Linked DNA regions of Cricetulus griseus. The protein of the gene in region 2 binds, or shares a complex with, the protein of the main gene of each other region. Links are inferred from orthologs where the notes say so. Each region holds a gene or a part of one and is shown on either strand. Other genes may lie near its edges. The genes, in order: Tns2 and Dlc1.

Region 1 (4,358 bases), on a different chromosome or scaffold from region 2:
TCCCTGGGAGGTCAGGGCTTAAGCTCTTTGCTGAACTCCCAGGGCTTATTCAGGCTCAAGCAAGGAAAGGCAGAGAAGTCCAAACAGATGGCAGGATCATACTGCCACCCTGGCCACCTCAGGGGGGCAGGGGAATGAGGGGAATACTGAGGCAAGGTAAGGAGCAGGAGAAGAGGCTGAAATTAGCAAGAGGGTCTGGCCTGAATCCTGGCCCTCCCCCCTTGTCCACACCTCCACCCTGCCCCACCTTTGCCCAGCTGGTGGGCACTCCTACCCTGCTGGTGGCCCGGCTGCTGTCCCTCCCCAGGGCTCTGAGCAACCTTTCCATAGGGCCGCTGGACTTCATGGTGTCTGGCTGGCTGGGTCTTGGCTGCAGGGCCTGAACAATGCTGGGGCCTGGCCTGGGGCTTCCTGGAAGCAGCCTGGCCGAGGCAGCCGCTTCCCTTGGGTGGAGGGGAGGCTGTCTGGCTGGTGTGTGGAGAAGCCTGGCCCTGGAAGTGAAGGGAAGTGCAGGCGGGAAGGGGGCAGGTCGCTGCTCCAGGAAGTGGGGTGGGGGAGGATGTGGGGGAGGCCAGGAGATCAGATTCCCAGGATCTACCCCTGCTGGGAGTGTCAGCCCAAGATCTTTGGCTCTCCCCTTCTCCTCTGGAGCTGCCTCTCACCCGGTGGGCCACCCTGTGTAGGGGTCTGTGGTCTTGAGATCCAGCCCTGGAATCAGTCAGTGGGGCAGGGTGGGAATTCAGGTCTCAGGGCTGGGCTTGAGGGCCAGAGAAGAACACTGTGTCCCCAGCCAGTCTCTAGCCTGGACTCTTAAGTTCCCTTGGGACTTCCTGTGGGAAGGGAGTGGAGCTGGGAACCAGTACCCCTGGCAGGCTAGGACTCAGACTACTTAGGGTGAAAGAAGTAGGAATGAGGGCCAGCTTCCTTGTCAGATGGGGAAGATCATGCAGTACCCTCCTCAAGGCCAAGCACCAGCCAGAAGCCCAGCTGCCCACAGTAGTGAGTGGTCCAGAGCAACCCAGGGCCCTGGAAAGGTTCCACCTGAAGACCCCAGCTACTGTGCTCCAGATAAAACCCACAGTTCCTGGCTTAGTCCCCCTGTATCTGGGACCCCACCCACCCACCCATTCAAACCTGAGCACTACCTTCATGGCTCTTCTGGGCCTGGCTCTTCTTCATCTGTGGCTGTCACTGGACCTGAGGACTGGACAGGAGGCCCCCTCCCAACACATTCTCCACCCCCTCTAGGGCCTCCTGCTTCCCTCCTGGGAATAGGGCCAACTTCCTGTCCCAGGAGTCAAGGAAGGAGGTGGATAGGGCCTTGGAAACGATAGAACAATCTTCCTAAAACAAGGGTCAATGGCCTGGGGGTTCTCGGCTCAAGCCCTGGACAGCAGCCTTTGGAATGCTGTAGCTGTCACTTGAAAGAATGTACAATCTTGTCGTCCTCATTTGCATGGTATTTACTGAATGTCCCAGTGCAACTCCTCCGGTTCTGGCTACATTCACAGGGTTCCACAGGAGTTCCCTCCTCTGCCTCCTGTTCATCCAGGTGAAGGGCTGCTCTACTCCTCCCTGGTTCACCTTAGAAAGACCATCAGACTGGGAAGCCTGAGCCTTCTTCCTGCATGCTCCAATTCTCTAGGAAGCCTGTCACCTGTGTACCCTGGCTAGAGGGTGGCACCTGAGTGGCAAGGTGTGGCCCCCCATACTGTAACTGGAGAGGGCCACTGGCTCTGTAATCCCTACCCAAGTCCTGGCTGTGTCCCAGGACATTCCAGGCCAATGGCCAGGTGGGCAACTGGGCCTGGCCTGATTCAGCACCCAGCCCTGCTGGGGGAGATGGGTCACTGTAGGGCCTGTGTGAGTGTGGCTCCCCCCATCCAGTGTTTTCCCTCTGCATCTATGGCACATAGCCTTACTTCTGCTGTCTCCTTGTGGGACTGAAAGTCCCCTCCTCTGTGAAAAGTCCCCAGACATCCTCTGGCCACATTGAACTTTCACTGCCTGCCCGCACAGACCTAGAAAAGTGTCCATTCAAATGACTGCAATTGGCTGGTCAAGAGCTATGAGTGTCCCCACCACGGGGAGTGAAGTACTTCTGGAAGGATCCTGAAGGCTGGCTGAGGTGGCGTTACCAGATCCCGTAGATCTTCGCTTCCCACCTCCTGCCTGGAATATTCCAGAGCTTTTTTTTTTCTTCCCCCCAGCAGGGCCCCCTCTTACTCTGAAGCCTTGGGTTTGTTTGGAGAAACCCCTCCACCCACCCACACACCCCTCCTTCCTGGAAATAGCTGTGGTTGGATGAGAAGCTGGGAGCCGGGCCACAGAGGAGTGAGGCCCAGGAAAGAAGGGAGGGGAAGAGAGGTAGGATTCTGGGATGTATCCAGAGAGACCTAGGGGGTGTCTAGGCAGGGCAGAAGTAGACTAGGGCTGTTAGGAGGGATCAGCTTCATCTGTGCCTGCATTGTGCCTCAGTGTCCCAGATAGGGAACATGAGAAGAAAACGCTTGCATACTCTCTGCCAGGCCAGGGCCGAAACACTGCGGCCAGCTACCGCGGGCATCTTGTGCTCAAAAAGTGTGTTTGTCGTTTGAGCTGGGGATGCACGCAGGGAGCAGCCGACCCTCCAGTAGTGCGCAGTAGGACGCGGAAGGCGGGGCGGCCTGAGCTAGGACCACAGCCGTGCCCCGCCCCCTGGTCACCTCTAGGATCTCAAACTGCCCCCTAGCTCACCGCGACCGACCGGGAGGGCGCTGGCGGCAGGCAGTCCCAGCCTCCGGGATCCCGCCGCGCTCGGTGTTCCGGGACCCCGGTGGCTCCGCGCCCCCTGGCGCCCGCCCCTGGCTCGCACCTCGCGCTGTGACGCAGAGGGCCGCCGCCCGCGCTCCCGCTCGCTTGGCGTGGCGGGGCCACTCACCTGTGGGGGGCGCCCGGAGGGCTGGGGGCGCGGCGGACCGGGGCAGCAGCAGGGGGCGCCCCCGGGCCAGCCCATCCCGGCCAGGCCAGCCGCACCGCGACACGCGGAGACAGCGGCAGCTGCGGGACGGGCATTCAGCTGGCTCCCTCCCTCTGCGCCCCGCCACCTCCTCCCGCCCTCCGGCTCCCTCCTTCTTCCCCGGGCTCCAATCGCCACCTTCCACCCGCTCCCCGCCCGCGCCGCCTCCTTTTTCCCTCCTCTCCTCCCACTGTCCTTCCCGCGAACGGCTCGGCGCGCAGAGGCAGGCTCGAAGGCCGAGCTGGCAGCCTGAGCCGGGGAGGGACCGCACGTGGGAAGGCAGCCCCAGGGAGCCTCAGACCGAGAGGCTGCGGAGGGACACGGGCGGAGAGAAACGCGTGAGCCGCACAGACTCCTCAAAAGAAGGTGGACACAGATCCAGAAGGGTACACAGAACAGCTGCGAGGCCTTGGCATCTCGGCGGCCACTTTAGTGCGGGATCTATTCTGAACCATGCCTGACCTGGTGGGGGCGCCAGATGTACTGGTGTCCCGGGTCTTAGGACACCACTTCCTGGTGTTCTCCCCCACTGGAACTTTTCTGTGTCTCTTCTCCCAGAAGACTCACAGCTGAGGACCCACACAAGGTTCAAAGCTCCCACCCCTCAACGGCTTTAGTAATCGCCCCTGTGTTCCTGGGGCTTACCAATGCAAGTTCTTTTGGTGGTGTCATCGCATTCCTTTTTTTTTTTTACTTTTTGTTTTATTTATTATGTATTTTATTTATTATTTTTTGTCTGCATATATCCCTGCACACCAGAAGAGGGCACCAAGTCTCATAACGGATGGTTGTGAGCCACCATGTGGATGCTGGGAATTGGACTCAGGACCTCCGGAACAGCAGCCAGCGCTCTTAACCTCTGAGCCATCTCTCCAGCCCCTCATTCCTTTTTAAAAGTCTGATATTGGAAAAGAACGCCTGAAATTAAACTGATGGGCCATGGTGCTAGTTTGAGTTGTGACAGTGGGAAGGGACAGTGGAGGGTAGGGAATGTGTGGTCCTAGAGTCTTTGAACCTATGGGCGTCCCAGTTCCCAGCATTCTTTAACAGATCCTATTACCTTCCTTCCACACTGGAATTTCCTTAAGTTGGTGAGCCAGAGGATCTCCATGCTGAGAAGTGGGAAGTGCCTAGAGTTAACTGTCGAGTAGGTTCCCAAAGCAGTCCAGCAGGGCCTGCTCAAGCCCTCTGGGTCTGCCTGCTGGCCTGCCCCATCTCAGCAGGGTTCTGTGCTCATCATGTCTCTGGCAAAGGCTGGGTTTGGCGGTTTGGTTCTGATTCCTGGGGAATGGAGCACCTGATTCTAATCTGGCAGCTGGGAAGAGCTGAAAGCATGGATCTTGCTGTCCAGTGGGCACTT
Region 2 (4,570 bases):
ACAAGGCTCTCTTCAGTCCCATTTATTTCGCTCACTGTACTCTGGATGCCCCCAATTCTACTGGACCGAATCACCTCTTCCTTGAATATTTTCAAATTGAGTATTTACTCGGCTAACTCATAAAAATACCACTCTCATTTAAACATTGCACCATGATTTAGAATCTCCACAGGGACACCCAGGGAACCCAAGTACTAATTTTTTTTTTTTTTTTTGCATTTGAAGCCACCTCTTGGAGCCTCACCAAGCCTCAGACTGGAAGCTTCTTGCAGGAATCTGCCATGGCCCCTTTAAGTCCTACAGCCCTTGGAGGACTAGACAGTTTAATCTCACTTTATTTAGTAATACCTTGCTGTGGTCATAACATCACGGTTAGCCTGTTCTGTTGGCCTTTGTTCTTTTAACTACTATGCAGAACAAAGGCTGAGGGCAAACTGTCTTGTGTGTGTTCCACAATTAAAGCAATGTCTTGGACCGGCTCAGTGTATTAAAGTCTGAAACAGCTTCATCTTTTCACTCCTTAGAGAGTGGTCTGCATTCAATCTACAAAAGCAGGGGAATTAGAATACAAGTCACTGAAACCACTTTTCTCATCCACTGTAGGGCAAAGATCTAAGCTGGAGACCACATATTCAGATTCCAGAGTCTGTGGCTTGGGAGAAAAAAAAAACGAAGTCAGCTCCCGCCCCTGACCTTCTATCTTGTTTAGGGTAAGGTATCACTCAGCTTGCAGGAGAGTAAAGTCAATTTGTCAAAAGCAAACTTTGAAAAAAAAAAAAAAAACAGCTTGAGAGAACTTGAGAGAAAGTCTGTCTGCTGGGCTTCATTTTAAACTCTCTGAACAGTAGGACTAATGAAAAAATTATGCACCCAGGCTAGGGCCAGGCTGCAAATCTGGCATGCCTCAATAAAAGTGAATACGGGCAATCTCCAACATTTTCTCAGGAAATGTCTTGAAATAACTTCTGAAGGCACATCTGTTAACCATTTGACACTCGTTCCTCAGGACTTTGGTTCTTCTGTCAGGGGGGCTGCTGCCTCGAAGGGCACCCCTCTCACCATCTGCTGCAATCTGCTTGCCAAGATGGCACTGGGTGCCTCCGTTAATTCCACCCTTATGGTCAGCAAATTATCCCGCAGAGGACTAGCCTGCTGTCCAGATGGAAGCAAAATTAGTCAACCTCTTGGAGAGGCTGATAGGTTCTGCGCAGCAGTCCGCTGGGCTATTATTTTCCCTCATCCCTTCAGCAAACAGCATTTTGCGGGGTTAAAAAAATGTAATTTGAGACTGGGCATTCTGCCTTCTCCAGAGCCTGATTTTTTTTCCTACTCAAATGCGTCACATATGCCACCCCTACGAATCTTTTGGTAATGGATGGCTGTGCCAAGGCTGCATTCCTCCGAATCACCAGCCACAGCTTGAAACAACCTCTGACTCTAGAGAATGAACCCATTTGTGACCACGTTGAGTGTAAAAAGCCTCATTGAAAGCAAAAACCGGATAGGGCAATATTTTTTTCCTCTTCTACTGAGCAGATTAATGACTTTGGGCAGGGTTTCCCTTCTAGTTATTAGCATCATTTGGGAACAGAGTGAACGTCAGTATCCGTCACTCCACTGGGCATTTTTACGTGTACTAGCTATTTGATCCTCACAACTTCCCTTGTGTCAACAATTATTACCCGGGATTGGGGACGGCACAGTGAGGTTATGCCACTTTCTGGGGTCGAGCATCATGCGCGATGTTGATCCCCAATTCACTTCCCCAACATCACTCCTCGTACCAAAGGCCCTGCCGAAATGACTAGCAGAGACAGAAAATTACACCAGCAGGGTGGGCTGCTGTTCTAGGAGCAACTCTTAAGAAGGATCAAAGGCTCTCAGCTCCTGACATTGGAGGAGGGGACAGGGGCGCAGAGAGGGGCACTAGTCCAAGAGGCCGTCTCCTTGACTTAAAAAAGAAAAAAAGCCTCAGGCCTGGAGACGTGTTTCCTTCCTTTCCACAGCTTGACGAACTCTTGCTCTCAGACCAAGGGCGTGGGCATCTGGTGGGGCTTTTCAGGAACCGCGTCCAACCACCCCACACAGCGGGAAAGCGCTGACTTCCCATCCGAACCCCACGTGCGACAGGGGTTGGGGGTAGCCAAGGAGCAACACAGACTCAGCCTGCCCAGGCTCAGAGATTCCCAGCGTTTAAAACTGGCGAACGACAACAAAAGAAGCGAACACTTCTGTAAACGTACTCTCAAACAGTCCTAAAGAAACATTTCCCCAAGTACAGCTAAAGTCTAAAGTGTCCCTTAAATAATGCATTCTTAGGGGGACAATGCTGATTTGGGACTTGCAGGGTGTAGGGCAGCAAGTAGAGCTGGAACCGTCCCCCAAAAGGGGTCGCTCGCCCCTCGGGGCCAGGAGGCCAGCTTCTAGGAATAGAATGGGTCCAAGTCACCCGGACGCCAGGCAATACGTGGCCAAGGAACATGACCCGAAGTTAAAACCTCCCTCTCCAAACTCTTGACCCAAGCTGCTTAAACACACGCGTTCTACAATCCAGAGCCTGGGGCGACTCCTCTGCAAGCGTGTCAAAACACACAACCACAACACGGACTTGGCAGGGCGGAGTGACAAGTCCTCTTCGGCTGGTCCCCTCAGCGGCTGACCCCAAGCAGACTAGTCCGATAACAAGGCACAAGTCCATCTTACGTGTTAGGATCATGGTGTCCGGCTCGTCTCTACACATCAAGGTCGGCGCAGGGCGGCGGGAGCGCACCGGGAACGTCGAGGCAGCCCGGAGTAATCGGGATCCCACGCCGGGACCCACGGTGGCACCCGGGACGCGAGCCCTCGCGGTCGTCAACACATCCTGTTTCGCAGCTTCCCTGCCCTTCGCCCTAGCTCTGCCAAAATCGTGGATTTTGACTGCGACCGGGAAGGGAGCGCTCTAAGGGAGCGGGGCACGCAGCTGGGGAGCCTCAGCTCCTGCTGCGAGGACGCTCAGCCATGGTCCAGCTTGGAGCGCACCGCCCTCCACTAGCCCGCTGTAGCGCTCTGCTCGCCGCGCGCCCTCCCGGCCTCGCCCTCCCTCTGAGCCCGCCCCCACGGGCGGGACCCACGCTGCGGCCTCGGGCTGTGCTCGGGCTCCGCCCACCGCGCACGAGATCCCGCCCTTCTCCTCCTCCGCCCTTTCCTGGAATGTTTTCCCAGGGTCTGCACTTCTGCGGCGGCGGCGGCGGCGGGAAGCGCCTAAAAGTCGCCAACTACTGGCCTCTAGGGTAAAGGCAAAAAGCCTGGAGGCATTTGCTGGGTGTAGAGGTCCGGGCCTAATGCTCATCATTTAACCTCTATCTTTCCCTTGGTGGTTCTGTGCACCCGCAGCCTCTCATGCTGGTCATCACAAAAACTTGCCATGATGGTAGGGACAGTGAGGAGGTCAGGATGGAGCAGTGTCTCTTGATCAGAAAATGGGGAAATACAATAACTGGTCTTTGGGACACCCATTCCTCCCTAAAGCCCACAAGAGCACAGAGGGAATGTGGGTACTAACATTGTTATGGAAGTTTTCCCCAACACGTGGGGAGAGTCAGTATACCGTGTGCGCAGTCATAGCCAGTGTATTTACATTTGGACTAAGATCACAGCTGCTAAAACTGCTCATGGACTGGCCCCCAGCCTGCCTTTTATGATCTGATGGTGATAATCTGTTTTTTTTTTCTTTTCTTTTTCAAAGGTTCAGATGATTCTCAAGCAGCTTAGTTGGAGGTTCCTTATATCATAAGAAGCCCCATTTTGAAGCTCCAGACAGAATATAAGGTCTTTAAATATCCACAGCAATTTTCATGAAAATTTACTTTGGAGTAAGTTAATAATTTTCATGAAAATTACTTTGGAGTAAGTTATGTGTGTTATCTTAACTGATGGAAACTGATTCATTCAGTCCCAAGACAGCATTTATTATGGGCCAAATGGTTTCTCCGAAGGATTATACAGCAGCCAGCAAAGGGGGACCATATCCCTGTCCTGTCGGAGTTGCTTGTTCCTAGAGAAGCTATACAATAAGCCAAGCAAGTGGAAAATATGTAGTATCTTAGATGAGAGGTGTTAGGCAGACCAGGCAATAGAATTGGGGCAGAATGTATTGGTAAGTTGGGCTAACCACCAACAGAAAACTGTATTCCCTTGTACTTCAAAATGGATTTATTTCATAGCCATATGCTAGGTTACAAAGCAGACTCTCCCCACTTATATCAATGGCACCCTAATTTTCCCTAGCAGAATTCCTCACTTGGGAGGGAAGGCACATTCAACCTCCACTCAGCAGATCGATGTTGCCAGGACATTTACCTGATGGCAAATGTTGGAGATCCAAAGGCAGTGCAGGGTTCATGTGCCTGCTTGCTAAGAGTTTATAGAATGATGGGAAGAAATGGGCGTGAATGGAAATAAGGGACTGTTGAGGGCCCAGAAAGTGAAGCCCTGAATAGCCCAAGAAAATAAAGTTGTCCTCCAAAGTGTGTCAGCTGGGAGAACTGTGAACATACCCATAATTAGCATGTCCTTCTGGTACTCACAT

What was found.
Region 1: the proteins of Dlc1 (region 2) and Tns2 are in contact, whole or in part, in an NMR structure (PDB 2LOZ), measured with the Homo sapiens proteins. The link is inferred for Cricetulus griseus from reciprocal best matches to the Homo sapiens genes DLC1 and TNS2. Residues at the interface, in NP_001335010.1 of Homo sapiens: Glu811, Asp812, His813, Lys814, Pro815, Gly816, Thr817, Phe818, Pro819, Ala821, Leu822, Thr823, Asn824; in NP_736610.2 of Homo sapiens: Asp1268, Leu1269, Leu1270, Arg1271, Gln1272, Gly1273, Ala1274, Ala1275, Cys1276, Lys1317, Ser1319, Ala1320, Gln1321, Thr1324, Leu1387, Asp1388, Pro1389, Asp1390, Gln1391, Val1403, Leu1404, Leu1405, Gly1406.

What each region holds. Positions count from the first base shown.
Region 1 is NC_048595.1:398,500,256-398,504,613, reverse strand, and holds the start of Tns2 (tensin-2), read right to left. Parts: upstream 3,081-4,358; 5' UTR 2,996-3,080; coding exon 2,921-2,995; intron 2,832-2,920; exon of another isoform or gene 2,737-2,831; intron 2,231-2,736; exon of another isoform or gene 1,152-2,230; coding exon of another isoform or gene 1,146-1,151; intron 1,062-1,145; exon of another isoform or gene 347-1,061; coding exon of another isoform or gene 275-346; intron 1-274. UniProt on the Homo sapiens protein: Tyrosine-protein phosphatase which regulates cell motility, proliferation and muscle-response to insulin. Phosphatase activity is mediated by binding to phosphatidylinositol-3,4,5-triphosphate (PtdIns(3,4,5)P3) via the SH2 domain.
Region 2 is NW_023276807.1:48,433,097-48,437,666, reverse strand, and holds the start of Dlc1 (rho GTPase-activating protein 7), read right to left. Parts: upstream 3,068-4,570; 5' UTR 2,741-3,067; coding exon 2,704-2,740; intron 1-2,703. UniProt on the Homo sapiens protein: Functions as a GTPase-activating protein for the small GTPases RHOA, RHOB, RHOC and CDC42, terminating their downstream signaling.